Lepisosteus oculatus: one gene and its partner. The protein of the gene in region 1 binds, or shares a complex with, the protein of each later gene. Links are inferred from orthologs where the notes say so. Each region holds a gene or a part of one and is shown on either strand. Other genes may lie near its edges. The genes, in order: phf20b and kansl3.

Evidence for each region.
Region 2: phf20b (region 1) and kansl3 share a complex: the UniProt entries of both Homo sapiens proteins name them as parts of the NSL complex. The link is inferred for Lepisosteus oculatus from reciprocal best matches to the Homo sapiens genes PHF20 and KANSL3.

The regions. Positions count from the first base shown.
Region 1 is NC_090711.1:7,198,957-7,214,757, reverse strand, and holds the start of phf20b (PHD finger protein 20b), read left to right. Parts: upstream 1-9,742; 5' UTR 9,743-9,828; intron 9,829-9,902; exon of another isoform or gene 9,903-10,046; intron 10,047-15,801. UniProt on the Homo sapiens protein: Methyllysine-binding protein, component of the MOF histone acetyltransferase protein complex.
Region 2 is NC_090697.1:73,307,091-73,323,156, forward strand, and holds the start of kansl3 (KAT8 regulatory NSL complex subunit 3), read left to right. Parts: upstream 1-9,569; 5' UTR 9,570-9,837; intron 9,838-11,204; 5' UTR 11,205-11,265; coding exon 11,266-11,477; intron 11,478-12,238; coding exon 12,239-12,409; intron 12,410-13,257; coding exon 13,258-13,348; intron 13,349-14,339; coding exon 14,340-14,525; intron 14,526-15,523; coding exon 15,524-15,655; intron 15,656-16,066. UniProt on the Homo sapiens protein: Non-catalytic component of the NSL histone acetyltransferase complex, a multiprotein complex that mediates histone H4 acetylation at 'Lys-5'- and 'Lys-8' (H4K5ac and H4K8ac) at transcription start sites and promotes transcription initiation.

The DNA of each region.
Region 1 (15,801 bases):
TGAAAGCGAAAATGTGAGCTCTGTAATTAAGTGTTAGTTTGTGACACCATGTGACCCAGGATATAGAAGAAATATATCCAGGACAGCAAGGCTGAAGACAGTGGGAAGGGCTTTGTGGGTTTAGTCTCAAGTTCCTGAGTCTGTCATCGCTAGTGCCCTTTGACAGACACTGCTTGCTTCACTGGTTTTTGCTACAGTGTTAACAGTCACGACAGCAGTTCCATTTAAGACATCTTTGCAAGGACATCAGTTTTTTTTTTTACAGTCGTCTAATAGGTCACAGGCTGTTGTCACAAAAAGAGTTGCATTGACGTAATATTGTCGTTACGTTGCGAGCTGAAAGAAAGTAATGTGAGTGGAAGTCATCATTTGTTAAAGTAAGCTTTCAAAATTAGTTTTGGAGAGATGGAAGGCTTTTTTGTGTTTCCAAATATTACTTAAATGTCATATTTGAGTTAACTTGTTGACTGCCAAGCTGGCATCCTTTTTCAAGTAAGCTGCCTTATTTATAGATGCGGTTGGCATTTAGTTGGTAGCTCCTCCTCCTGCTGTGCCAGCAGTGTGGTAAATGGTGAAAGAAAGGCGTCCCCCACTACAGCAGACGTTTTTTTTAATGACCCGCCTGGACTGCAGCTTCATCTATGCTAGAGCTCTTCGCTGTCTTCTTACAGTTAAAACCTGTTTATTTTTTTACAGGCAACAGGATTGAGTCCCACCATAGACCGTATTTGTTCAGTTCCTGGAAACTAAACACAGTTTTGCCCTAGATGAAGTTAAAGGGTTTGTTAAACCAGAAGATCTCTGTGGAGGTTGTTCTTTTGGTCACCCTTTAGAATCACAGCTCTCCCAATGGTCGTCTTACTCTGCCTTTATTTACAGTATAAAAAATGGCCCCTTTGATAGCCACTAAAGCCTTACAGCCTCTTCTCAGTTCCTACACACCTCCTAAAAATAGACATTATTATTAAGTTTTGTTCTCTTTGAATGCTTTAACTCGATGCTCTCCTACAATCCAGGTCATGGAAAAGCTGTAGTTGAAATCTGACTCCTCTTCAAATAAGAAAATTTGACCATAAAATTTGATCATGAAGTCTGGTTATTTGGTTTAGAATTAGTGTACAAGATGAGAACCTTTTTGAAGGAAGATAACTGGATCATTATCCTACATTAAGTTATTTTCCAGAAAATAAAAGTGATTGAGACATCTCTGTTCATAATTTACCCTCCATTTACTGTATTACTGCTTATTCAATGTACTGTATGTGTTTGAGGGCCTTACCTGCTTTTCTGTGGTGGTGTGTGAGCAAGCTTAAGCCTCATTTATTTCATCAGAGATGAATTTATGAAATACAGACACATATGAGACACAGCAGTGTGTTAATTGTCTACTCACAGAGCATTGATTAATACCAGTTAACAATCATTGCACGTGTTAAGACATTGCAAGTCTTTAAAAGGGCTTAACAGTCTTGTGAGTCTTAACATACCTGCAATTAGGACATTTTGATTTCGACTGTGAATTCAAGAAGGTTTTAAAGAGGTTTCCAGAGCCCGAAACAGGCTGAAGAGAACCTACTCATTTCATTGCATTCTGCAATTGAGCTAGCCTACATAAATAAGCTTTTTCCCCCTTTCCCAGTTGATGTGGCTTTGTCTAAAGGACTAGTTTGCTCTCATAGGACTGTAGAATTTTCCCCCTTTTCTTTTACCCTCTGATTGGTGTCTCACATTATGTTAATGTTTAACATTTTAATGTTGTAGAATGAAGGGAAATAGCCTCAACAGCTGGAAGTTGCTCAGACACAACATAAGCACAACGCATTCAATACACATAATTCCTGGAATTCATTTTTTACCTCAACATGTTCACGGCAGGTAAATCAAGATTCATTCATGTAAATACCGTCTGTGAATAGCAATGTCTTAATTACTGTAATTTGAAGTAATGAGGATAAAGATTATTATAGTTTCAGGTGTTAAAAATGCAGAGGAAGCTTTTCTTTTTTGCTGTTGGCTGCCTGTTGTGGAAAACAAACTGATAACCACTCTTCGATGTTTTGTTCATAACGTGTGCTAAGAAGTGAACTGTAATACTTTTAACTGTAATGCCTACAGTTGCCAAGCAACAGGTTGTCATCCCCTCCTCTCCTGCACTTAGCTTTTCATCATTTTTATTTGCTGCTGTTTTCTGTATTCAGATGCTGTTGGCTTTGTCGGTGTAAATGCCTCTGCCGTCCTCAGTACATTCAGTTTGTGTGAAGAGATACAAGTGAGAGACCGTGACAATGTCGGATGCTTTATTTTACCTAATTTCATAAATAAAAAATAAAGTTTGTAAATTTACACAATCTGTGGTGCAGGTTTGTTGTTGTTTTTTTCTGCAGCGTAATTTATGTATTGTGGTAGTATTGTCGGTTCTCAGAAACCAGATGTGTCAGCAGTCATCCAGCCGTCAAACACATGCCCCAGTGAAGAGTAAAAAACAGTTAACTTCTAAATTGGTTCTGTTACGCGGCAGGCTGAACACAAACAATGCACCACATTGAGAACAGACCCTTGCTTTCTGGGGCCATTCTGAAAACACATGCCTTAAGGCAAACGGGGGAAGAGTATTTAAACTCAAAGGCTGCTTGAGATATGTGGCGGATTGAAAATCACATCTGAGAGAGGTGCCTGTGATAATGCTTTGTGAATCCAGTTTTTTTTTCAGATGGGTGTTAACACTGAAGTTTGGGAATGGGGCTGTTAAAAGAGTATTGCAGGGCTTCTACCACGCTTAGTTACAGCAGTTCCTGCTTGTTTTGAAAAGTGAGCTCAAGTGAAGGTTTTGCCTTTTCTCATCTGCAAACAAACAGCTGGCAGAGAACTGTGGCCGTGCGTGTCAGTGATCTGAAGCCATTTCTGGTTTCAGTTTGTGTTTCATTCTTGAATTGCATAAGTCAAAACCATACGCTTTTTAAGTGATGAAGCTAAGTGTGTACATGACAGAAAGGAAGAGCTCTTCATTTTTTTAGTTTTACTAGATTATAATTCCATCTAATTCTGGTTGTATCTTCTCACCGTGTCTAATATGTGGTAATGTTTGAGGGTCTGAGAAGAAGTATATTGCATTATCATTTTGGGTGGCAAAAGATGCACACGCTTGTCAGCTGTGATAATTCCAAAGAAATCGACATGGACGCCACAAACACATAGCCCATTATCTTCCTTATGACAAGAAACTGAGATGCTGGTTTGAACGGAAAGTTTGCTTCAGTCTCTTTTAAAACTTTTCTTTTGCATCATCTCCTACCCAAATCACACATGGCATTACTACTGTCTGGCTTGTACTCACAACACGTTTGGGGAAAAACGACTCATGCCAGCTGACAAATTCGGAAATTCTGCTTATGCTGCAAACCATGGGATGGGGGAAATCTATATACACACTGCCAGCATTTTCATTTTCTAGTAAATGTAAATTGTTCTGCCTGCAGTGTGGCGAACAATAAATACTTGATATGGCTGCTGGTCAATCATGTGGTTTGCCACAAGGCAGCTTACACTGGAGAATTTTACTGCCCTTTTCCAGTTCGTAAGTAGCGGGCTGATTTTTTTCCAAATACCATTATTAAAATGCACAGACAAAGCACTCGCGCGCGGACATTGGAAGTTTGGAAAATACATTCCATGGAAGCATTCCTCCGTGGGTTTCCTAAAGAGTTTTTTGTACATGACGTAATTGAGTGATGGAAAGAATCATCTACAGGTGAGGGGGGTACAGCCGCCCCAAGTGGAGGAGATGAAGTACTCTTGTTCACAAGACAGGGCAGAGGGGATCACGGGATTGACCAGCGGATGGGTGTAGTGGCTGCAGGAGTGTGTTCTCTGTACCAAACCATGGTGTTGAAGCAAGAGCTGAGTTTTTGGACAAGGCTCTCTGTGTTCTCTCTCAATCCAATTCCCTACTCTCACCTGTGGTCACGAGCTTAGCGTAGTGACTGAAAGAATGGGATTGTGGGGACAGGCAGCAGAAACGAGGTTTCTCCGTGGGGTTGCTGGGCTTACTCTCTCAGCAGTCTGGGAGGAATGTGTATGTGAACATTTGTGTATGTGTTTGTACACACATGTGTATGTGTACATTTGTGTATGTGTTTGTGCACACATGTGTATGTGTACATTTGTGTGTGTTTATACACACGTGTGTATGTGTACATTTGTGTGTGTGTTTGTACACACGTGTGTATGTGTACATTTGTGTATGTATTTATACACGTGTGTATGTGTACATTTGCGGGATTGAGAGGAGCCAGTTGAGGTGGGCTGGTCATCTGCTGAGATTGTCACAAGGGCGTCTCCCACTGGAGGTGTACCGGGCACGGCCCACTGGAGACCCCGACTGAGGGGATTCTATGTCTAAGCTGGCCTGGGAGTTCCCCCGGAGGAGCTGGAGACTGTTGCTGGGGAAAGGGAAGTCTGGTCCACTCAGACTGCCTGTTACCATTGCGACCATCACCAGCGGTAAGCAGTTGGAAAATGATGATGATGATGAAGATGAACATAAGACAAGCTTCTGCAGGTACATTGGCCTACTGACAAAGCAGTTTAGGTCATCTTAGTGCACCACATTATCTCAACTCCCCGAACCTTACATAAAATATGAATATACAGTACAGTATATTGAACAGATTCATTTAAGACTGATAAGAGGGTGGGTTTGTGTTAGGGATGTAGTGACTAATATATTTTACTAACGCATACTAAAATCAATCACGAGAAAAAAAAAAACAACCCGCTATGGAAGGTAGCAGAAGAAACGAATTTAAAAAAATATAAATAAATTAAAGTGTGAAACAGATGCCAAATTTGTCAGTATATTATTAATGTCACCATGAGAAGTTACAAAACTCAATTCTCAGTAGTAAAGTCACTCTTTAATGATGTAACCATGACTAAAGATTTCACTCTGCAGACGAATAATGGATCCCTCATGCATTCGATTTTCTATGGCTCAGACAGTGGAGAGCACCAAGCCACTAAATCTAATCTGATTTTACCATTTGTGTTTTTCGGTAAAACAGTGTGGTTTGGACATTTGAATCTTGAAACCCACATTCATAAATCCAATGTATTTACTGCTTTTTTATTTATTTCGTAGTTGTCAACATACGTCTTTTCTAACGTGAAGTGCATTTAAAAGAAATATTTTGATAAGTTGACCCCAGACTTTGCAGCCTTTACTAATAAACACTTTCTTTTAGGGAGGAGTTAATATGTTAGTTTATTGGGTTAGGTGTTTTCTTTTAATTTATAACCATGTTCTCGAAAATGTATTGCTTCCAAATTTTCTAAATTACCGCTGGTACAACACGAGAGACAATATTCCCATTTTTGGGTATTAGTTTCAAGATCGATATAATTTAACAATAAAAAAAATTGAAAGCACGAGCATAGTAATATCATGATCATAGACTTTACATTTCTATTAATTTTTGAAGTACAAATCAGAAAGTGTTTCCCCTACCTTAAATATACGATTAAAATTGTTCAAATAAATATTCATTACAGAAAGCAGCGGAGACAGTTATATTGCAAATAGAAAATATATTTATTTCAAAGAGTACGGGACATTGTGAATTAATAAAGACGTTAACAAATAAGCCAATGTAGTTATTTTGCAAATAAGTAAAGCATTTTAAAAATAGATTCTCATTGACAGTAAACAAGCCGATCCAGCAGGCGCTACTAGCTTGAACAGCTCTCAGACCCGTGATTGGCTAAAACTCCCGAACAGTCCGGGCCGCGATTGGGTAAAGAGTGAGAATCGACACTCTGATTGGATAAAGTGCAACAGCGGAAGTTCCTAGAACATGTAGATACACAGGTGATGGATGTTCTTCGCCAAATACTGTAGCCCTGGTTAACCGTGTGTGCTGCATGAGTACGCTGGTTATAGAGTAACACATCCATTGGTTTCCAATTACTAATCAATCTAAGAGAAGTCGCACTGAGGTCAAAACTGAATAGCAGACAAAGAATGTCAAGGCATCCACAGCGCGTTCACGACTCCAATAGCATGTCACAATAGGAGTGCGCGCATCACGATCACATCCTGATACCCACTGCGACTGGCACATCACTGTCATGCCGCCACTTTCATTAAGTCCATATATCGCGATATCACCTACCCCCGACAAAACGCCCACCCCCATGGCGCGACACGGAGTCCACATATCGCGATATGACAAACGTCACCCGCACCAATGTCGCGAGATGAAGCCCTCATATCGCGATATGACATACCCGGCAAAAATGCCCCGCCCCCATATCGCGACATGAAGTCTATATATCGCGATATGAAAAAACCCGTCACGCCCATGTCGCGACATGAAGCCCGCATATCGCGATATGACCTACCGGGCAAAAAATGCCCCGCCCCCATGTCGCGACAGGAAGTCTATATATCGCGATATGAAAAAACTGTCACGCCCATGTCGCGACATGAAAGGCCCTATATCGCGATATGGCATGCCCAGCCAAAACGCCCACCCCCCATGTCGCGACATAGAGTCCATATATTGCGATATGAAAAACCTGTTATGCCCATGTCGTGACATAAAGCCCGAATATCGCGATATGACATACCCCCAACAAAATGCCCTGCCCCCATGTCGCGACATGAAGTCCATATGTTGCGATAGAACATAGCCATGGTCACGTGATCACCGATAAAAACAAGGCGCTATATATCGGGATCGAAAGCAGCAAACGTAGCACTAACGAATGAGACCGTTTTGGTTTCCCTACGACATTGTAGGGGAGCTCAATGACGTCACGACCCCGGAAATAAAAGGTTTTTATATCTCGGAAACGAAAGCAGCAGAGACGCTCCTTTCAACGGCACAAACTGGCACAAACGTAGCACTAACGAATGAGATGGGTTTCATCGTTTGTGCTTTCTGTGTGGGGGGGGCAACTTAACGGAGCTTTCCTAGACAGCTGGAATACTCCCGTTGTCTGAGCGCAGTATTGTGTGAATTAATCTGTTTCAATAGTTGTTTTATGGCTTGAAAATCAATTATGTGAAATTTGGTTATTCCGTAAATAGATTATGTAAGCGGTTTAACCAGACTTTATTCCGAATTGTTCATTTATTATTACTGCACATAGTTACGTTCAATGGTAGGGTTTCGAATAAAACAGGGATACTACCAAGTAAACAAAATGTTGAGACTGCCCTCTGCTGGGATAATTGGAGAGATGCAGAAGTTCTTTTCCACACAGTCTACTGTGCCAGAAATAATCGGGTACAGAAATCAATCGTAATTTGCTAAAACGATAAAGATAATATTTATAAAAAGTTCAAATATATAAGATATAAGACTGAAAAGTGTGGCAACACGTTTAATCATTTAACCTGTTGCAAACTTCACAATTGTTCATCTTTCGAAATATGCTCTCTATATCTTTAAAATTCTGAGGTTATTTTTATGTCTTGTCTGTTGGGTGTGTTAGAATACATTTTGACTTTCAGAAAACATTAGAAACTTTGCTATAAACCCCCTGTATAGTTTATCTTTGGAGTAGATTGAACACGCACTACCTACGTATGTCCTATTGGCATTAACTTCCTCGTTACTGCATGAGTACTGTAATTCAGTTTGTGAAAGTTTAGTTTTTGACATTATGATTCAAGTAAGTAATACAAAACAGCTCCTTCTTATTCTAGAGTAATAACTTCAGCTCATCTCCAAAAGTGGATGGTATGAATAACCTGTAAGTACTATATACATACATTTCACTTTATTATTATATATGCCTCGAGTTTGGTACGTACGGTTTCTGAGTAGAGATGAACACATCTATTTTATCAATAGCGGCTACTAAAATAATGTTCTAATTACTGATAAACTAAAACCACGGTTCAATCTAAATAAATTAAACGTTTTTATTAATACAGAATGGGAGCATGACCTTTCTCTGCTCAAATAGTTCAGTAACTGAAGGATATTTCTCACTCTACCACCTCCTCTCTCACCGTTCAAGGGGAGGAAAAATGTCAGTATAATCTCATTATAATCGTGTCAGCGTGTCAGAGTTGAGCAGGTAATTCTTGGCTGTAGCGAGGAAGAAATTATGCACACTTAATTTAAGATACGTAATAATAATAATTGCTTACACTTATATAGCGCTTTTCTGGACACTCCACTCAAAGCGCTTTACAGGTAATGGGGATCCCCTCCACCACCACCAATGTGCAGAATCCACCTGGATGATGCGACGGCAGCCATAGTGCGCCAGAACGCTCACCACACATCAGCTATCAGTGGAGAGGAGAGCAGAGTAATGAAGCCAATTCATAGTGGGGGATTATTAGGAGGCCATGATAGATAAGGGCCAATGGAAAATTTGGCCAGGACGCCGGGGTTACACCCCTACTTTTTTCCGAGAGATGCCCTGGGATTTTTAATGACCACAGAGAGTCAGGACCTCGGTTTTATGTCAAACCCGAGGGACGGCGCCTGTTTACAGTATAGTGTCCCCGTCACTATACTGGGGCATTAGGACCCACATGTACCGCACGGTGAGCGTCCCCTGCTGGCCCCACTAACACCTCTTCCAGCAGCAACCTTAGTTTTTCCCATCCAGGTACTGACCTGGCTCACACATGCTTAGCTTCAGTGGGCTGCCAGTTGTGAGTGGCTATAATAATTAAGAAATCATGCCAAAATAAATAAAATAAAAAAAGATTACAAATGGACTCAAGCCTTGTGAGAAAAAAACGGCTTATATTAACAAGAACAAAACGTTATATTATGTCTCAAATATCGTGAAGGAACCAATCCAGACAACGTATAAAAATGATTTGTTGCTTAGAATAACTCTAAAGGTATGAGTAACTTTAAAGGTACGAGAGAGGAGGACAAGCATATATGCTACCCATATAATGCGTGTCAGTGAAAAAGTTCTCACGCTATTTCACCTAGGTCACTTTTTACTTCTTTCCCTTAAGCTACATAACATTTTCGTAGTTTTAATTAACCGCATATTTAATAAACTATCGCATTTCATATTACAAAGCGAAATGCGATTACTAGTAAAATATCAGTACTTCTGTGTAATATGAAATGCGAGTTTATTTAGCTTTACCGTTCAGCATTAGTCAATCAAGACCCGTCAAATTAGAAGCCAAATCAACTTAATAATTATCGTTGAAGGCTGCATCGCTTTTAAAGAATTAAGCGCATAAATGCAGGTCAATTCAGTGTAAGCGTAGCCAGGACATCGCTTTAGTGATTTTAAGTGATCTTACACTCGATCGCTGGCGGTAAAACATTTCCATTTAATTTTAGTATGCCCCCCTCTTCCTGGACAGTCTCGCTGAGAAACCCCGGTACCCCCCAAAACCTTAGCCCTGTCAAAGGAAGACCGGATAGAAGCATTTTACCCCGACCAAAACGTGAATATTTTCTTATCCGGGGGAGAACACAAGCTCTCTTTCCATTCGGACGCGCGGCCGAGCGGACGTTAATAAATATTTTTCATGTAACCGTGCACGTATATGTTTCGTGCACGAAATAAACGAACAAAGAGAAGGGAAATTGGGAATAAAACTCGTCACCATTTTAAAGGAACATTCTACACTTCTTGAATCAGAAAGAGCGCCTGGCGCGCCGGCGCAAGCGCAGAAGGCCAGCAGTCGGAGTCTCTCTCTCCGCTCACACACACGCAGGGAAAATAAACTGCGTGGGCAGCCGACACCGAGAGGGTGGCAGTGCGCTAGAGTCTGGGAAGGAGTAGCTAACTGTACATGCATCATCAGCGGGGGATCACGTAAGAAAATACAAGGTAAAGACCGTTCCCACGTCGTAGCGGGGCTAGGGACGACGTTTTGCGTGCGACTCAGCCTTCATCATTGTTTATTTGCCATGTGAAGTGTTTGTGATGCCATGCATCAGGAGGGGGAAAAAAATAAAGTTGCCGCATGTGTCTCCTCGAGAGTGATGCTATCCTCACACTTTGGAGAAAACAGAAAGATTTTGTCCCGTGAAGGGCAGGTTTGGGGGGTATGTAAGGAGTGGCTTTCGCGATGGTTTGTTTTGCAGAGCCGAAGCGTTGATGTAATTTTTTCCCGATGATTCGGGGGGGAAGGTTTTTTTTTTTTCCTCCTGTTTTCTGGGAAGTTAGTCCCCTTCTCAGTTCGTGTAGTAATTACGGCAGACTGATGTGTGCAGGCCGGAGAGGCCCCGGCAAAGTCGGCCGAACGATTGACAAGCGGCTCGTCCAATCAGGCGCCTCGAATCCGCTGCTGTCAGAGCCGGCAGCCAGTAAGCTTCTCTGAAATCGGCAAACGGGCGGAGAGTATCGGCAATGTGGGGTTTTACTTTTCCGTCTTTAAAACACCGAAATCCTGAAAATACTTTGTGTTTCTAAGAGCAACGTCCACCTTGTGCTTAGCGAGGACATGCTTTAGCACGTCCCGCTGGCTTCTCTGTGGAGTCGGAGGTGATATTTTTTTCGTGGTTGGATCCACGTTTTTGTGCACGCAGGAAACAAAACCCAGGCGGTGCTTGCAATAAAACGGTTAATCCAGTATCTTGGGTTGATCCATAAAACAGATCTTGCGGCGCCAGCGGAAGTCTCCCGACTTCGCAAACCGGACGGCACCCCGGTTTTAGAGGGGGGTTCACTCGTCCAGGAGCCCGCGGTAGTGGCATAAACAACGGGCGAGAAACGTATTGCGCGCCATTTGCGTCACTCCGCTCCCGACTTGTGCTCGGCAGCTGCAGTGATTGTCCTCCGGCTCCGCAACTTGAAATGCGAGGCTCCGGGTCAGGGCTCGGTGACACACAGCCTGCCCCACCGTCTTACAACGGCGATTTGCATTAGGGCCGAGGAACACCTCCGGTTTGCAAGCCTGGGGTCACACGTGTGCTCCTGCTTCACATGGCGCATATTGTTCTTTCCTCGGCAGTAGCTTCCCGAGAGGTTGCATCTTCAAGCCGGCAGAGAAGTGAACGCAGCGTCTTGTGTAGCTTCTTTGAAAACCTGGAGCTGACGACCAGTGCCCCCTCCTTTTCTGATTCCCAAATAATACTTTAAAATACAAAAAAAAATAGTATCTCAAAGAGTTACTTTTATTCAGGCTTTTCTACACTGAATATATCAAACGTTCTATGTGTAGCAACAAAACTAACTGCAATGCGATTTTTACGTTTATTGGCTATATTACAATATCAGTATAAAAAGCTAATAATTATTAAAACGAGTAGACAGTTGGAAAGTACACGTGACTGGATGCTCAGATTCTTACTTTAATAATACGGGAGCTGTGCCTTTAACACAGCTACATTTGTCAAACCTGTAGTTTTTAATAGTTGGCTGATAAGGTTGGTTGATAAGTTGAAGGGTTGCACTATCGTTGCTATACTATTGAAGTAATTACTAGTTTTCGACAGTGTTTCTCTTTAATGTTACGTAATGAAAAAGATGAGCAGAAGGTTCCAGATGGGATTGCAGGCTGTCTTGGACTCAAACGGTGTTAAAAATAAGGGAACTTCCCGTGTGGGTTGGTTCGTTCTTCAGTCGATTCACTCCCCTGAGCTGAAATGAAAATGCAAAGCTTTCGTTTTTAGGAAGTTGCCTGCCACCTGCTGTTATTAGATAGGAAGCTCCCCCCCTTTTCCTAAAAGGCAAAGGATAGATGCAGGATATTCTTTTAATGTTAATGTTTCTTTATTAGCCCTATACAATTTCTTGCATTAGGAATTCGTCTTTTCGCATACCCCAGCTTTTCTCCATGGAGACACAGACACACAGACAGGGAGAGAAGCTTGGGGTCAGAGTACAGGATCAGCCATTGTACGGCGCCCCTGGAGCAGTTAGGGTTAAGGGCCTTGCTCAGGGGTGCAGTAGGATTCCTCTGCCGGCTGCGGGATTTGAACCGGCAACCTTCCAGTCACAGGCACAGATCCTTAGCCACAGAGCCACCTCTCCGCCCAATTCATGCCACTGTCGAGGGCGTGTGCATGAGTTTTTTTCAGGTCCAGGACTCCGACTGCTGTTAATTAACAGCAAAGGACGTTTGGAATTGCAGAATCCAATGAAGGATGCAGTGGAATCCATTACTTGTTTATCCGATGCACTTATCCAGTACAGGGTTGTGAGGATGGGGAGGTGAGCTGGAGCCTAGCCCAGCAAGTGAAAGGAGCAAGGCAGGATACACCCTGGGTGGGATGCTTGTCCATCACAGGGCAGATACACATACTCACAACAGGGCCAGTTTTCACAGCGGCCAGTTCACCTACTCGCCGAAATGTAGTGTTTCTTACCTTTCAGCATGGAATGAACTTTCACCTGTTCCTGCATGCTGAATCGGCTCCCTGCTAGAACCCCTTCAAAGTAGAATTGAGCAAAAACCCCTGCTTCCTTCAGCACTGTGTCCCTAATCACCTTTCTGAGATATTGGTTCTTGGTAATTCCTGTTTATAGTGAAGAGTGCCACCTACTGGTCCACAGACAGCTTGCAGTAGCAACCTGGCTTTCCTTGGAGGTCTCCCATCCCAGTACTGACCAAGCCCAGCCTTGCTTAGCTTCCGACATGCAGAACGTCAATCAGTCACCTATAAATTAATCAGGAGACCTTTGAAGGAACTAGTGACGGAAAATAAGCGGCACCACATGAAATTACAGCAATGTAATGAAATAGCGGGTGAGCCCAGGAGAACTTCTGCAGGGTGGTGGAGGAAGAAGGACCGAGACCTGAGCAGAGAAAGACGTCTGCTGCTAGCAGAGCCAAAGAGATGCCACAGGGGGACTGAACAGAGGAGTGGTTATACAGCAGAGCTCTTCAGTCCTCCCCAGCTTCTGGTTCATTGCTTCATTGGTTTAGCCATGCACAGGATGATCAATCAAGCCTTCATAAATTTAAGTTACAGTTTCAACCCTTTATTGTAACTCTTCCTTGTTGCCAGTTCAAAGTGTTTGTCATGTGGTGCATTACGAAGGTGTTGCTTAACATTCCCTGAACTTGTCTGTAAACTTATTTTGGGAGCTTTTTTTCCTTCAGTAAAGCATAAGAACAGTTACAAACAAAAGTAAGTGCCATTCAACACAACTAGGCCTTATGGCCGTTAGTAGCTAAAAGATTTGTTGTATTCTGAAATAGGCCAGGATATTGGCTTCAAGAACATGGGGGGGTATTTCACACTCATTGTGTACAGAAGCACCTCCTGTTCTCATTTCTGTTTACCTCATTTTCATGCTCTTCAAGCAGTAGAGTTCAGACAGCTGAAAAAGAGGAGTTTTTTAAAATAATTTTAATGTTTAATCAACCAGTATGTGTTAATTATGATCATAACAAGAATCTTGCCTCATGCAGTAATGTAGAGTTTGTCATTGTGAATTGACTCTGAAATGACTTCAGGATATAATCAGGAACACCTCTTTACAGCTGCTTATATCAGTAGAGGCTGGTTCCCTTGAGGCCACAGGCCACGCCCACTGAAAACCTGGAAACACAACATAGTGCCCTCTGAGTGAGTCGAAGGAAAAGGCGACACCTTTGTTTTTTCGTGGGAAGTTTGTATAGATATAATCAGTTGCTGATATCACTGGTATAAAAGCCAGGAAAGCAGAATGTGTGTAAAAATGAGTCAGTGACTTCTGTCCTGATTAAACACTCATATTCTTAGCCCTGTGCTGCTTTCCTGTCTGAGCACAAACAACTCTTTAAGGTTGATAACAGGGTGGAGACTTGCTGCAGCATGCATTCCAGGTGGCTTCTTGTTCTGCAGTGTTCCCACGTGGAAAATCCCAAGATATTTCCTACATAATTAGCCATGTCTTCCTTCCCAATAACTGTGCGTGTGTTTGGGTGAAACCCCCACTCTATCCAAAAGGGTTGAGGATCGTATAGAATTAAGGCATGTGTAGTTGTCGTGTTGTAATTTAGACACAATAAAACAACACCGCTACTGAAGACTGTATACTAAACAAATTTATTATGATGACTGTGAATGCTGGAAACTGTATTTGCAATTAGGAGAATAATTTGAAATATTTGCCTAGCCATGTGGGAGGACTGAGCCCGATGTGTGTAGTTATACTGTCTTAGTACTCTATTTCTCATACCACACATAATTTATCTCTATACGCACTATATCTTTATTTTTCTGCATTTTAAATACGAGAAGACATTTATTCACATTCTAATGTCATTTCTGCATTACAGCAGTATACTGTTGAAGTGGTCAAGAGGATTTTGATGTTCAATCTTAAAACTGTTTAAAGTTGTCCTTGAGTGTTATTTTCCTTTAACAGTGCTCTGTTAAAGCTGTTAATATCTGCATCACAGCCACAACAGTGAAAGTGGACTTGAGAGTTGACTCTAAGGGTTTCTTCCTTTAAAGAGTCCCTGCAGACACTGCATCCTGTCATTCCGTAGCTCACACTCATGGGTTTAGGATGTTTTCCTCCTTATCAAAAATATTGCTGTTTGATTATGTCGACTTATTCCAAAGCAATTTCGGCTGGAGTATTTGCTATTGAGATGTAGACATTTTTGCACAGGTGAACCCCTACATTTTAACCCATCACGCAATGAAATAGGCCTAGACCCTCAATCTAAAGGCGCTGAAGTCCTTTCGAAGGGCCTTCGAGATTCGCTAGCTTCGGTTTTCTGCAGCGTCGACAGAAGAGCTTAACGTTCTGTGGTAGACATCTTGGATCCCTGATGCCTCTCAATCTTCGTCACCTTGTTGATCTTTAATTACTGCTTCTTGGCCTGTCGGCTGCCTTCTGCCTGCTTTCTTCCCACTGCATAATTGCAGAGGTGGTGTCACAGTGATGTCTAATTAAAATAGCAGGGGAGACAGGACTCTGCTGTAGGGAGTGAAGAGACAGGTCCAAGGCACGCAGTGGGAGTGTGGCAGTTTCACAAACTGAAAGCTGACTTTCACCCTGTGTGGCTGCACACGTTAGTGCTTTGTGTACTCAAGACCTGGTGCTTATGACAGTTCCACAGTGTTTGTATTTTTCCTTTACATCGGTTCAGCAATTATAACTGTCAAGCATTATATGTATAGTCAAGGACAATACCTCTCACACTTTCCTCTGATCATTACCCAATTTCCATTGTTTCTGGACAAAAAAATTATAAAATTTACTTTATATGTCATTTTTAATGGTTGCCCAAAATGTCAACGGTTTATTACAGTATATACATTTTCCAGGATGTTTCTTTTGTGCTATCTTCTGGTATGTGTAATGGTTTTTAATCTATTATTTCATGTAAAACATGGTTCTGAAGGATAGTTATCAACAGAATAGTCAAACAGTAGGCTCCTCTTGGCACAGCATGTTACTCCGTACAAGCGGTAAATAACATTAAGTTGCCAGTCATACTTTTACTTTTATATTAAAAATTCAATAGAAAAATATGAGCACAAGCTTAACAGTAATAACTGAGATCATCAACATCCAAAAGGCATTCACAGAAATTCTGTTAATTTTTTATTGTTTTTAAAAACTTAGAATTACATTACTTAGGATTTACAGACAGTGTTAAAGCTGCTAACATAAAAGCTTAAAACGTTGTAAAAAATGAATTTAGCATCTAATTAATTATTGCTCAAATTGACGTGTTAAACGAAGTAACCATGGGCTCAGATAGAATACAAACCAGGAGGGGACTGGGAGGGAGAGGCTGGGATTTGAAATACTCTCTTCAAACAGGGTGGTCTCATCCCAGGTCTTCTGTGTCTGCAGGTTTGTATACACACTCACCTCTTAATGACACAAAGCAGCACATTATTGGTGAAA
Region 2 (16,066 bases), on another chromosome or scaffold:
GGAATTTTGTAATGATCGCTACCCAGACGGAGACCAAACAACAATACAGATTATACCCAACTATGATCTACTACGGAACAGGTAATAGGTTTATTCCATGCTAAAAAGAGAAGAAAGAAAACAACGTTTCGGCCGTGGAGCCTTCTTCGGGTGAAGAAGAAGGTGACACCTGAAGAAGGCTCCATGGCCGAAACGTTGTTTTATTTCTTCTCTTTTCAGCATGGAATAAACCTATTACTTGTTCCTTTGCTGCCTACGCATGCTGACGCAACTACCCACCTGAACTACTATGATCTACTACAGTGCATATCCTGGGATGTAAGCCAAATTTACCATGGGATAGTTTGATACCATTTCATATGTAGCTTTAGTTTAGCAGCATTTTCCTTAGATTTTTAAAATACATTTCATTGCATTCATCCTAAAATCAGCTTGTTTGTGAGTGTTTGGAATCGGACGATCCCAGCTGATACCACATTTTTGAGTGCTGAACTCACTCTGGAGTCTTTCAGAAGCCACTCTTTTGGCTAAAATAAAAGCTGAACGGATGTTAGGAAAGCGTGGCTGACTGTTGAAAGAATGATCAAAGAGGCACAAAATAAAAGCAACAACAAAGAAGCAACAAATAAGGACACAAAAAGACAGTTTAGGAACTGAATGATAACTGTTTCAGTTATCTTAAACACATTCTGGTTTCAATTCTTAAACACAGTTTTTCAATAATTTCAAACACCCGTTCATAAGATCTGTAGAAAATGTTGTCTGTAAGCAGCCCAATATTCTTTTCCGGCGTGATATCCAGTTTGCGGTTGTGTGGAGGAGAAAATACTACCTTTTGCGTTATTCTTTTGAATCCATTCACGGTGTTCATTTTGTGTTGTTCTAAAAAATAAGCAATAGTAAAAACAGTTGTAGTACATACTATATGTACTGATAGTAAATACTATGTTAAAATTAGTTTTTTGACTCAAGGAGTAAATCGCTTGCCTCTTTTACACTACACATGGCAAGTAAGCGAAAGGCTTGCAGACCACTCAATAAATCACAGCCCTTGTCTTGTGCAACTTGAATGTGGTATTTCCAAGCATAAGACATTTTACATTTTCTTAATCATTACAAAGGAAGAGCATAAAATTGTAGAATATTAATGCTAAAAGGGCAAAGGAGTGGGCATTAAGAAATAATGCTCAATTGATGATGTGTACAGTATATATTTGCTTGATGCAAAGCTTCTATTGCTTTAAGGATCTGACATAAGTGCTCATCATGCCAATAGTGTATTGTATTTTTGTATAAAGGGAATATTTAAATTCTTGTAATGCTTTAAATATTTTCTACTAGGATGCTAACCATTTAAGTCTGGTGATGTCTTCTAATTACTAAATCAGACCTTGTTTTTTTTATCTGCAAGAATCCTCCCCAGCTTGTCCTGCCTGAAACATCAGCTGAAGTATTGTGTTATGTTAGGATAGTTAGAGTAAAAGCACGCATGCACAATTCAGTAGCTGCAAATTCCTCTTCTAATTCTGATGAGTAACAGAAGATTGTGAAAAGAAATTTGTTTGCCATGTGGCACATCATGCACCATTACCATCATGTTAGCAACAACTTCAAATCTGCTCCATCACAACGTAATGGCAGCATATTTTGCGGTTTTATTTAGAGGACGTTGAGGCTTAGAACATGAATGCACTTCAGTTATAAGGCTGTATTCAAAAGGTAAAGTCTAGTTTTCCTTCCATTCTTTAGTGTTGTATTATGAAGTGCACTGTTGTTAAGGATGGGTTAGGTAGGTGGCTGTGTCAGCACGCTGGCTTTGAAAAGACACTACGATTCATTTCACATTGTGAGTCTGGAAGGGAAATAGGTTAGCAGGTGATTGATTTTCAGCTCTGCTGTTATTAGCTTAGACTGTCATGCTGTACTGCTTAGTTTAGAGAAGAACAGCAGGACTAATCCTGGGGCTAAAGAGGAATGAACTATGAGGACAGGCTGAAACCTCCATATAGCTCAGCAGCAAGATTGGGTTAGAGAGATCTAATCTGAAAGAGATACTGCAGTTGCTCCACATTTTACTTCCAGAAGGGTTTGGGGAATGGGAGAGTCATTAATGGAGTTTCACTTAAGCACATTGTTTAAGCATTTGGCTGGTTTGTTCACAGTTGCATAGAGAATGCAAGGACAGAAGGGGCTTGCCTGTGTCTTATAGAGCCAAGAAAGGTTTAGGACATGGAAAATCTAGTTTTCTGTTTTCTTTTAAATTTAACACTGCCAAATATTTTGGTTTTATGCCCAGAATTTGGAGGTAAGCAATTCTCACACCAGCCTTTGAGAGCCTGTCCTCTTAGACCTGTGTTGTGTTGTCATACCATCCATTTCTTTTCACACTTCTGTTGTAAATCACATACTGAAGAGCTGTCATGTTGTGTGAAGAATGTGTAGTTTTTCTGTCACTGGTATCCCCAGACAGGGGTTCCTGGTTAATGGCAGTGGTTCTACCAAGTCTCACCCTGCCCTGCCCTGCCCTGGCAGTACCCCACCAGCTGTGTGCCATTCTTATTTGCCTTTATCCCTGTGCCTGTCTGTCATTATCTTGTTAATTAGATTTGGTTAGGGGGTGATGGGGTTATTTGCCTATAGACAAGTTAAAATGATTGGACGTTGTGCGGGTTGTAAATTCATAACATCCTTACAGACTTCACGAGAATGAATTATTTGATTAAATTCTTGTTTTAATCAATAAATAAAGATATGAAATTCTCCCTTGGAGAAAGAATCTGCGTTTGTATAAAATACAAATACAGATGTGCAGTAACAAAAAAGCACAGAAAAAATATTAAAAGTGTGGGATTTTTATAACAAATGCACCCTTTTTTGTCTTCAAAATTAGTATAGAGCGCATAGCTTCTTAATTTCTTATCATCTTTATACAAATGCAGGTAATCCCTCCATAAATTGTGATAAAACATGTTTTCTGTGGTTGGTTTGCCTGTATTAGAACTTCTTGCATTTCAGTAGCACCAGCTAGATTAAAATAACCTCCACTGCATAATTAAGCACAGTGTCAAAACCTAGGCTGTTGTGCCCTCTAGCGACAAAGACACAGATTTCAGTTTTTATACTTGTATTTAAAGATTTTTTTTGTACTTTGTTTTTTAATGATTATACTGTCCAGCGACCTTTCCTTAAACCAAGAACCTCCACTCAGGTCACAGAGAGATGCATAGTATTCTGTTTTTTTTTTCTTCCAGCCCAGCTTTCAATTACTGTACCATTTCTATGTCCATTATCAGAATGCCATTTAATACTGGTGTCACAGCAACCTATGAGCATTAGGCTCAAGGTAGAGGTCCAGCCAAATGCAGTAGGTTACTGTATTTCATTGCAATAAATGTTTTTTCAATTACCCGTTTGATTACTCAAGATTAAAGAGAGCTTTAGCCAATTATTTTAGATGCTTAAAAGCAATGAAGGGCTGAGGCTCCACAGGAGTGTAGTTGGAGACTGTTGCCTTAAAGGTTGCTGTCAGGTATACCCGTTAGCTCTTGTGTAGACTTATTTTACAATATTTCACACAGCTGATGTTAGAACTGTGTGTTCAGATGCTGACCTGATAGAGTCAGTTGTAGGAATCCCATTCTTTGTGTGTGTAGGTGGCAGTATTGTGGTTAAAGTGCACTTAAAATTGTGAAATTATTTGTATTTTAGACTAGTAATTCTTTAATTGGTTAACAACTTAATTTGTATATTATTTGTATTTTAAGGCAGTAATTATGTTTTGATGACATTTAATTACTCCTTTATCTTTGCGTTCATTGGGCTGGAGATAATGGAGCCTTGTTGTAACCCAGAAATTGTTACTTATATAAGGATCTTCCGGTTTAAATTTCAACCATGCTTTCCAGGTATAGCAGTTAGTGATTTATCGGCCCTAATTAAACATGATTAATATTAACTTTAGCCTCTGATTCATATAAAGCTTTGAAGGACTGGGGCTCTCGAGGATCCTGATTGAAAATCACCATTAAACGTTTACTGCATTTGTTCATACACAGCGAACGAAAAGGAGACGTTTAAGTTGAGAAGCAAGTCTGAAATTCTCACTCTGTAGCAGATTTTAAAATGGATAGAACTCATCCGACCAACTTGCATAGAAAATAAATCTGTTTTTCATTATGGACTCAGTCCAGAGAAGCAGTTTGTAGTGTTAAAGGCCTTTGTTTTCCATCGTGGGCAAAATGCTCTTCCCAGCTGTCAATGAACTGTGGTCAGTTTGCCACCAATGGAAACAAACACACTTTGTTTTTCATTTAAACTGTGATTAAAGGAGTATAGTCTTGCTTTTTTTATTCTGCGGGGTGTCCTGATCACATACACAGTTAGGGCAGGAAATAAATTTGACAATCCTGTCAGAAATGAAGTGTGTTCGCACTTAGCGAAACCCCTCATTCCTGTTTGGTTTGTGGATACTGTGAGCTGTTGCTCAAAATCCCGAAACTACCAAACACGTGTGTGTGTGTGGTGTTATATAGACAGATCATTGAAAACAGCCCACAAAACCAGTTTGGAGACGGTAAAATTCTAAGGAAAGTAATATAATTCAAGCAGAAGCGTATCTGTTAATTAGACTACTGCAATCCTAAAGAGTCATAGTCTGGCACCTTACAAAAGTGCTGGGTTGGACCAGTTGAGACAATAATTAGCTCACAGGTCTGGAGATAGACAACACTACACTGGATGAGTTTTGAGGCAGTGTTGCCTCTTTGCCTCTTACAACTGATATGTTATTGCTATCCAGGAAGGTGTATACCGAAACGTTTTTTGGATCAGGTAGATTTTGATCGTTGCTCATTGTGGAACCTAAGGATCTGAGTTAAAAACCCACTGCCACATTAATTATTGTGCAGTTGGTCTGTTTTTCCGAGATAAACGCAAAAGCATGTAAGGTATTTAAAGTTTAATGCATACACTGCAATTAGGAAATTAAGAAGCTGTCAAGAGGTATGATTAGTAAAGGTAAAGCGAAGAAAGCTTTTTAGTTAAAGCAAACAATAGAACTGGCTTTAACATTTACCGTCTTTCTAATTTTATACATTTTATAGTACACGTTCTGCAGATGCATGGCTGTTTGAAGTTTTGGTCCATTGTCCTGAGTAGTAAAACTGGTTTGAAAATATGACACTAATAATAAAATGATAAAATACCCATGTTTTGAAAATATTAGGCAAAGCCAAAATGTCACCTGAACTAGATTTCCATGGCAGGAACTGGAAGGGAAATGTATTTTTAATCATTATATAAAATTTAGTTTTATATTTAGGGTGAGTGCTTGTAATTTCTTGATTGCACTTTGTATATGTGTGTATGCTGTTGTGCAGCTATAGGCCAGAGACCATATGTCAAATAGCACTTCGGAGCAATATGGATGGCCACTTTGACAAATCACCAAGTTTTCAGGTCTGCAGTGGCCCAACATTTAAAAATGCCTATAAAACCTACGGGACTGCAGTATGTGAGCAGACTTGTGCAGTACTGAAATGCAAGAGATCTCTCTTCAGACCTTTGAGACATACCAAGCAGGCCAGGTGAAAACTGGTGTGGATACCTTAATATTGAGGTTTTTAATATTCTGTGTCGATATTACGAGATGGAAGAATGTTAATGAGGGTTTTGTTTTTGTGATATATACAGATATATATGTATTTTTAACTTATTTCTACTAATGATTTGGTAGGAGGCCTCTTGTCAAGTGACAGAAAAAAGCCATGCAGGGTGATACGTATTCATTTGAGGAAAAATGTGTCCTCAGTATTCAGATTCCTCCTTGGTATGAGATATTTCTGCCTTGCTTGTCATATTTGCTCAACTAAATGTTTCATGTTTATGATTCAGTTATTTTTAAACTGGATGCCACTGATTCAGAACAAACTGAAATATAGAAAATATTTTTCAAGGATTAAAGCCTTTTTATTGTTTCAAAGAATTTTTTCATCTATTTGTGTTACAGGACTGAGTCAAATAACCCAGGTGCATTTTCTCATCGAGTTTTGTAAGCTTTCTCTCCCCTGTTTAGAAACATTTGGCTCCGATTTAACTCCACTGCAGTGTTGTCATTTACTTTGATGCTGCCTAAGCACCTGTGTTTTACCAAAGTCACGCAGCATATTGCAATTTCACACTTCCTTGGTTTGTCAAGTGGAAGATGTTAAAATGTCAAACTGCATTGCGTTCTAATTCTGCTCTTTATTTTATAGTGTATAGGTGGGCAACAGTATAAAAAAAAGATCACAATGATTTTTTGTTTTTATTTTATCAGTAAACAAATTGAGAACTTTTACAAAGAGCCATGCTTATGATAATACCTGCAAGTCAAGACAACATCAATGGAACAGAAAGTGTTCTATGTCATTAGCTTGGGCTTTGATAGCTGATGCTTTGGGGGGCTTTGTCAGATGAAGTCTGTACACTATTATAGACCTTCTATGAGGTATTGTGCTGGCAATGTTGTGCTTAAATCTTAATTCAGGTTGTGTATTCCCACCAGAATACAATTTGTCTGTGTTGTTGCATCTTTAGCAACAACTTACTGTTCAGTGAAGTTTAAAATACCTTGTATGTGCTCATCTCTTTCTCAATCTCCTGCACTTTATCATTCCTGTAACCAACCATGGTAACACTCTCTAGACGAGCTCTCTTTCCCAGAGTACCCTTGGCAAATTTGTATCTTGCTTTATATATTTTTTTTATTTCTAGTAATTTAGCATGGTGATGAATGCTTTCAATAACTTGAAAACCAGGATTGTCAGTTGTTTCGTCTTTATTATTGTATGAAAATTAATTTCTAAAACAATACTGTAATGAAATTGAAATGTATGCCTTGTAATGGGTGCTATGAATGTTTTGGTTCTCACTTGTGTACTTTTGGTTCTTCATCATGGGATGTATTTTCCACTAATTGGTTTCTGTCTATTGTTGTCTCAATTCTGTTGATAAATGATACCATGTACTGAGCTAAAACAAACTTTGTTAAACTGTCTTTTTATTTGGCATACATTTAACATTACTTACGATTAAATTTTTCATTCATTTTAAATGACAATTTCCTAGTTCTTGCTTGCATCTACAGTATATCATACCCCGTCTTTAAACTTGTTTCTCACCTGATAAACCTCTGATGATTTCAGCTCCTTCCTTTGTGCTCTGTAGTTGTTAATGAAAAATGTTTCACATTCATTGGCTGAATTCACGAATTGATATTTATTCCATTAATGCAGTGCTTTACAGAATCACTCCCAGCTTACATTTAAAGAGCATAAACTAGCGCTTTCAGACTGGGTTACAAATCATCAAAATAATTAGTGATCCTAATTTAAAAATGTTAAAAAAAAACTTGAGAAAGTGCCAAAGGAGGAGGCAGTTTTGAGGAGTCAAGGGGAGGTACTTCATGCAGTGTGAGTTGTGGGTGGATGCAGCATGTTCCCAAGCCATGTTGAAGCAGCTGATTCACTGGGTTGCTCCAAAACTTGTCCAGCTCCTTCTACCTCCTGATAGTTATTAAAAAACACCTCAGCCCTCACTGTAAAGCATACAAATTCATGCTTACAGAAAACCAGTGGAATTTAATATTTGCATATAGCTATAAGATGTATTTCATTTAATCTGATTTTAAATGGGAATTTGATTATTTTTCCTCAATGTGTACATAAAAAGCCAACACTATTGCCTTGCTCAGTTTGTACACAGAGATACAGGGAATATTACAGGTACTACAAATACTTTCTCACAAACACTTGCTAACAGTTTGATGCCTACTGTCCTTCATTTTCAAACCCTACAGTACCATGCTGTGATCCAGTGTGCACTGAGTGCCCGCAGAGGAAGGAGCTCCTCTGGCCACGGTATGGTCGGAGCATGAGGAGGAACACTGGCTATCGCCTCCTCAACTAGATTTAAGCAAGCACTGTGCTGGAGAAAGATCCCATAGTTGAGCCTACAGGAGAATGGAGAGTGGTCATCACCACCTCGCAGGCCCAAGCTTGAAGAGCAGGTGGATGAGGGCAAGACGTCTGTGTCTCTACGGCCCATGTCTGAGCTACAGGACAGGATCATGAGAGGTCACTGCTGCCCTGGCCGGAGCCTCAAGAGTGTGAGGCAGCCGCTGTGCCAAAAGAAAGGGGGCACTCGTGTAGACACCTGCTGGCTCAGGAGGGGGAGGTAGTTTGAGAGCGGTAGATGATGCCACATTTCACACAGCCGCCAGAAGGAGAACGCCAGGGGGGGGTGCACCCAGTTCGCACTGCCTGCTGCCCCCACGTCTCTGCATCTGTCACGGCTTCGGACTGGCAAAACCTGCTCTTCCGTCGGCTTCCCCGGTGAGGAGCAGGACGTCGGGCAGGGTGGCAGGAGGAGGGAAGAGGGATCTTGTCTCAGCTACATCTCCCAAGTGCCCCTGTGGGGAGAGCAGTCTTCCTCCCTCACCTGGCAGGTCCGGAGATGCAGGCTGGGTTCGGCCACAATATAAACCAATAGAGGAAGCCTGCCTTCAGGGAGCAGGGAGCAGGTCCTGGGCTGTACAAACCGCTTAAGGGAAAAATGGGCGCCAGAGAGAAACAACCGCAGGACTGAAAGAGTTTTAACAGCATTTTGGGAATGTGATTTGTTTAAAGCTGGTAAGCAGCTTAGTTGTCCACTGAGTTATTGAGGAATTGAAGGCATTTTCTGGTTATCCGTAATGCTCAGTGCATAAAGTAAAAAATGGCGAACGACGTCTATTCTACTTATTTTTTTGTTTTGCATGACACTCACGTTCGATTTCTGCACTACCGCCGGTATTGATTTATCCCTTTATTTTCACTTCCACTTATATTAAGGCAGGGATATAAATCGGCTATAAATCCAGCCTAGTGGGGCCCTCTAGTGGTCAGGCAGTAGAAATGCCTGTGCCATGCTGGACGGTGATGCGCAGATCGGACAATTCTCAAACGTCCAGCAGAATCCCGTTGTGGAAAGATAGTTTTTGCTGTTAAAGTGCTGTGGAAAAATATAGAACGCTTAGAAATACACTAAGTATACCAACACAACTTGCCTTAAAGGTAAAAGGTTTAGAAGAAATTAAAAATAAATGTATAAATGTTACATTTTCTCGAATGCGATAAAGGTAATTGTCTTAATTTTCTCATTATAATAATATTGCTTTTCACAAGAGAGTAATCTGGTATATGACTGTCCACAATTCCAGTACATACAGTTTTCAGCACATAAGACAGATACCATGATGACAATATAATTTAACATACTATGTCGTGCAAGTCGCGTTGTTTGTGAATATATGTCTAGAATCATGTTTTACCTTGGTATTTTGTAAAATGTGACTTTTCTTCTAAAGTTTACATCGAAAGCTTTGGAATAACTTGCTACCTTAGTGTTTATTAAAATGTAAGTTTCATTTCTTTGCTATCGTTCCCTGCAAGAGGAACGGAGGGTAGGCGGGTCTTGTAAAAACACGGGAATCCATTTCGTATATTCCAAGTCTCCCGGCAGCAGGGTCGCATCCTGACTCCGGATCGCCTGAGAAAATCTGTGCCGTATTTTCAAGCAGGCCCTCCAGTGTAGTGGCGCGGTTGAAATACGAGGAGAAGAAAGGCCCTTAACAAAAACAGAAAGCAGTCATTAAAAGCAACGGAATGCGAATAAACACATTTCAAAAACGCATTTAAACAGTGTACAAACGAGTTTACACATCTGTTCTGGACGCTGGGGTCACGTTTTGGGATTACACTTCTTTTACGGTTTCTTGACACAATGACGTGAGCTCATCTTCTGGGATGCCGCCAGAAAGTAAGTGTTTTTATAGTATAACGATAAACTCTCCTACGCATTGTTTTCACCAGCTTTGCCCTCACAAGGACGTCAATAACCATGCTTTGTGATATCTGGACAGTTCTTTTATAGAAATGAATCTTTTCAGTACCTAGGCCGGCAGTCCTCGGGTTTTCTTAAAAAGAGCACAGGACCTGAGCGTACCCTGCCTCGGCTTGAACAACGTCTCGGAGCCGGGGTCTTTTTTTATTTGCCTGTCGAGTCTATTTTCTTGCCTGTTACAGTAACAACAACAAAAACAGCAACACGCCCGGTGGCTGATTTACTAGCCTTGACAGTGTCCTTCTTCGTAGTTTAGGGAACGTTCAGGTGTTAAAATATAAACTGTAAATGTAAGTTGTATATTGTATTGTTGCCTTTGTATCCAGTAGTGTGAAGGAAAGTTTAACCCTCACTGTATTAAATATACAGTCTTTGTCATTTAATGCAGCACTGCCCGACCTTTTACAAATGCCCCTACCCCCAAAAAAGTCTACTTAATGACCGAGTTTAAATTGGAGATTCCAATCACAATTTAATTTTCACTTTCAGAACATGTGCTTTTCTATTGTACCGACATCAAGGACCCAGCAATTTGACTTACAATTTTTGACTTACAATAGTAAATAAATCGTGATTGAAAACATCATCGTGCGTTAGCATTTTAATGGTGCAGTAAAATAAATCCAGGCAAATCTGGGGATGGATATTCCCATCAAATCAATTCCTTTCGTCAGAGATTCATTATGCCCATTTGCTCTTACCATAACTGTTGCTGGCGCAATATTCATGGTCAGTAAAGATTAAACTCTCAGAAGTGTCCCAACAGGTCAACCGTGGACTCACCATCGAGATTTCAAATCAATTATTTTGGTCCACTCGTTATTAAGAGGGCGTCATTGTTAAGGGCCAGGGGGAAATTTGGCCAGGACACCACGGTTAACACCCCTACTCTCTTCAAGAAACGCCCTGGGATTTTTTACTATCCTTGCAGAGTCGGGACCTCAGATTTATGTCTCATCCGGAGGACGGTGCCCTTTTTAACAGAATAGTGGCCCCCTCACTATTCTGGGGCATTAGGACCCACACAGACCGCAGGGTGAGCGCCCCCTGCTGGCCCCACTAACACCTCTTCCAGCAGCAGCCTCAGCTTTCCCAGGAGTCTCCCATCCAGGTACTGACCAGGCTCCCACCTGCTGAGCTTCAGTGGCCTGCCACCAGTGGTGAGTTGCGGGGAGATGTAGCTCTTTGGAGAGCAGGTCAGGTCTGCGCAAGGTAGAGGTTGCAGGTGGGCAGCTGAGGCCGGCGAGGGCAGCGTGTGACCGTGTTGTGCCCCGTGTCCCTAGCCCAGCCTTGTGTCCGGAGTGCCCCCTCCCGCTGAGAGCGTGCGCCAGCTGCCCGAGAACAATGTACCGCGGCGGGGAGCGGGACTTCCAGACCTCCGCGCGGCGGATGGGCACCTCCTTGCTCTTCCAGCTGTCTGTCCACGAGCGGGAGCTGGACCTGGTCTTCCTCGACCACAGCTACGCTAAGCCCTGGAGTGCCCACCCGGACGCCAGCAGTGCCCGCCCTACCCGCATGCTTTTTGTCACGCCTCGGCGCCAGCAGGACACCACCGTGTGAGTAGACGCTGCACCGCAGTGGAAACCCCCCCTGCAGTATTACAGCTTCTCCTGGCGGTATACAAAGTAGACAGCCTTCATTTAAATGACATGTATAATCACTGTTGTAAGACCAGCTTTAAGACCAGCTTTTAGACTGCCCTGTCTCCTGTGCAATTGGTTTGTATGTTAATTGTGTTTCACAGTGTGGCAATTACAGGACATGAAATATGTACCCCATGTTGTGTGCAGACTGGCAAGATTCAGGCTTTATTAGTTGCATTGAAACAATCCAGCATGCTCACAAGTTGAAGTTATTCAGATCTTGATTTTGAGTGCGTCTGTACTCTTTTCACACTCCTGTGATTTCTTTGGTTGTGATTTGCTAGAACGGGGGTGGATTTGCATTGCCCTACTGTTCTAAAATTACATTATTTTCCCAATTAAAATAACTTGTTAGCATGTCACAGCGCCAGTGTTCCTGCATACGTACTTGCTTATGTGAGTTTTTTCAGTTTAAGTTGCAGCACCAAGCTGATGTGAGTGATAACTTTACATCAGCAGAATTTCCTAGAAAAACTTTTAATTACACTCCTTCTGCTGCTACAGTTGACGAAAAGTGGTGAGCTCAGCTAATTTGGAACAATTGGTTGCAAGGTGTTACAAAGCGTGTCTTTGAGTTTTGTGCCACATTGCCATCAAGTCACGCCAGGGGTTGGGGGAGCGTTATTAGAGGAAGCATGAGCAGCGCAGGACGTGCGTTATGAATGTGGTTGCAGAGAGACGGACATGCCCATCGATGTGGAGACGGTGACGCCCACGCCGATGCCCCTGTATGACAACCAGAAGGCGCGGAGTGTGATGAACGAGTGCGAGCGCCACGTGCTCTTCGCCAGGACCGACGCTGATGCCCCTCCGCCACCGGACGACTGGGAGGAGCACCTCAACAAGTAAGAGCCTTCAAGCTCCTCGTGCAGCAAGCTGAAGGGTGGAGGACAGTGAGCACCCGGGCTCTGCTTCACGTGCAGGCCTAAACTAATCGCAGTTTCCGACACCTGCCGAATGTAAATCAAAGTCGTACTGGGATCGACAAGAAAGAGCTGGGAAGTTCTCCCTTGGCAAGAGGAGGGAAAGGTTGGGTCTACATTGTTTTAGAGCTGTAGCCCTCATCAGGTTCAATACACGAGTGCTAGCCTACAGAGCTTGCAAGAGGACAGCTCCCATCTCTCCCGACTCTTGTCAGGCCCTGTGTTCCTGCTAGGACTGAGATCTGGTTTTTCAGGCTGGCTGGCAATGCCAGTACTGAGGTGTAGCGAGTCCCAGGCCTGCTTGTTCTCTGTGCTGGTCCTCCAGTAGTGGAACTACCCATCTGCGGCAGTCAGAAACATGGACTCACTCTCCATCTTCTTGAATTTCCCAGAAGAAACTGAAAATTAATCTGTTCAGGGTATACCTAACCTCACAAGCCGTGTCTAACCCTCACTAACTCTTGTGACTCTTTGCTCGTGTGTTGCTACTTCCAGTCTATCAGGCTGCACTGTTCAGCATTCTAGCAATGCACTTATTGTTTTGTGCTACTGTTGTATGCACCTGTTGCATCTTGAGTGGATGTGATTGTAAGTCACTTTGGATAATAGCATCTGCCATTTGAAAAATGTACATGTTTTGTACAGTTTTTCTTGATTGCATATTCACGTTTTTGTAGGTTTGATACTTGTTCTCTGTGTGGAAGTGAAGAAAAGTAATTTAGTGTGTCTGGCAGTGGTTGTTATTAATCACCCATCCCACTGTGTTCCAGGACAGGCTGGTCCATGTCTCAGAACAAGCTGTTCAACAAGGTTCTGAAGGCTCTGCAAGCTGAGAGACAGGCTCGTCTGGCCAATGAGGGGGTGAGATCTCGAAAAATTGGGCTGGGAGTGGGCGCATGCACTCTGGAACCTGGATTGACATTTCTTTCCAGATTTGCAAGGCTTTTTATTAAGAGTGACATTTATCACTCTTTTTTTCCTCCGTCTCACAATAGGTGTCAGATAGTGAACTTTGGGTTATATAGTCTCTCAGGAGCTTTCTATTACATGATACAGCAGTAATACAGTAACGTCAGTAATTCAGAGCTTTTGAAGAAGGCTCCACGGCCAAAACTTTGTGTTTTCTTTCTTCTCTTTTCAGCATGGAATAAACCTATTACTTGTTCCATTATATTGATTCACAGTTTTCATTTTGAGATTTATTGTAATGCTTTCTCCTTTGAGGCAGAGTTTTGTAATATGCAAAAATAAATTTGCTCTTTTATTTTTTTGCTTTAGACAAGTTTTTAACAGAACTAAAATACTTATCCTCATTCATAAGGTGGTGAGAATGTAATATGCACACCTTGAACCGACTTGAGTACATCTGAGCAATTCTCTCAGTTCCTGTCTCAAACTAGTTTTAAGTAGTTAGTATTGCAGAATGTTCAAAAATCTTTTTCTAAAACTTTACACTGGTACAAACATAACTTTCTGTTTATAAATTGTATATAGAGCTGGTGAGGATTTGAGACAGATGTTTAGTGTGTTGCCCTACGTTTTAATAGAAAAAAGTGGCATATTTGAAATCTCAGTAATCTGAAAATAACTAGAAATAAGACGCATTTACTTTTTTATGTGTATTGTTTGGATTGTAAAATTTGTGAAATCATGGATAAGAAATAGCTGACATGTATAAAAGCCGTAAGAGAATACAATAACCGTTTGAACGTCTTCATGTGAATGCTCGAACACCAAAAAGATCGATGATATATTGGAGCAATTGGAAGGACTCGGGAACATGATTAATTGTCTGCTATGGAAGTGACATTCCCAGCCTTGCTATTCCCTGTGTCCCCTCTCTTCTCCTCAGGCGTGTAACGAGCCAGTTCTGCGGCGCATCGCTGTGGACAAGTGTGCCAGGAAGGTGCGCCATGCTCTGGCTAGCATCAGCTGGGACACCAAGCTCACCCAGTGGCTCCACACTACTCTGGTGGAGTCTCTCAGTCTGCCAATGTTGGCCGCCTACCTGGACGTGCTGCAGACCCTGAAGAGCAAGGTGAGCTAGTGGCACTGACTTCAATCCTGAGAAAATCTGGGATATTACTATGTTACTATGTCAGCCACTGGATAATTTTCGGCGCCTTGAAAATAAATGGTTCCTAATCATTATTTCATACAATTGCCTGCTATATTTTTAAGGACCATATGATATATTTTCTGGTCTCGTATGGAATTATTAAAGAGTTACAAGACTTTTTAAATTGCATCAAATGGAAGATTCCCTTCAGTTTTGTTCACTGTAAATATTAGTCAGATTTTACTAATTGGGGATTGAAGGTTTGTAAGACCCCGTCACGTATTGTACAGTCACGACTTTGCCCTAGCTTCCTAGCTGGCACTTTCCTCCACAAGGATGAGACAGACTTCTATGAAATCTGTGAATTTCACTAGAGAGAATGTTGTATAATAATAATTTGTTACACTTATATGGCGCTTTTCTGGACATTCCACTCTTAAGTGCTTTACAGGTAATGGGGACTCCCCTCCACCACCACCGATGTGCAGCCCCACCTCGATGATGCTCCAGTACTCTCCCCACACACCAGCTATCAGTGGGGAGGAGAGCAGAGTGTTGAAGCCAGTACATAGATGGGGATTATTAGGAGGCCATGATTGGTGAGGGCCAATGGGATATTTGGTCACCAGGGTAACACCACTACTCTTTTTGAGAAGAGCCCTGGGATTTTTAATGACCACAGAAAGTCAGGACCTCAATTTTCTGTCTAATCTGAAGGATGGTGCCTTTTTACAGTTTAGTGTCCCCATTACTATACTGGGACATTAGGACCCACACAAACCTCAGAGTGAGCACCCTCTATGGGCCCCACTCTCACCTCTTCCAGTAGCAACCTTAGCTTTCCCAGGAGGTCTCCCATCAGGTACTGACCAGGCTCACACCTGCCGAGCTTCAGTGGGCTGCCAGTTGTGAGTTGCAGGGTGATGGAGCTGCAGGCATTAAAAGGCTAGGATCCACCTCTCTGTGTCCATTTGTAGGTCCCCACATTAATCGACCGGATGCTGTTATCTTCCTCGGTGAAGACCGGTGCCACAGGGGCGGAGGCGCTGTCCCTGCTGCTCAAGAGACCCTGGGACCCAGCAGTGGGCGTCCTGTCCCATAACAAACCGGTATGCTCCTCTCCCAGCTTCAGGGTGACCCATACTGAACTGTATTCAAGAAACATAAAGATGGTCTGCTCTACTGTCTCTAGGGGTTTCAGCTTGCTTAACTGATAACCATGTTCTGAAATTTTTTTTTATTTGGTTGACCCTGAATAGTTGTTACTGTACCTAAAATTACTTGAGAACAAACTAGCGTGCAAAATATGGTTCCTGCTGATGCTGAGTCCCTTGGCTGTGTACGTTTTAACTTAGAACAAAAGTTCATGAACCTTGCCAACCTGTCGGCTCTAGCTGCTATGAAAAGAGCTTTGACATTGTTGCCGTGAACACCACAAAGAATTTCTATCATGTCATTCAACTTCAGCGTCTTCACTAGCAAAACTGATCAGTTGTTGCACAAGTCATGTAACACTGGAG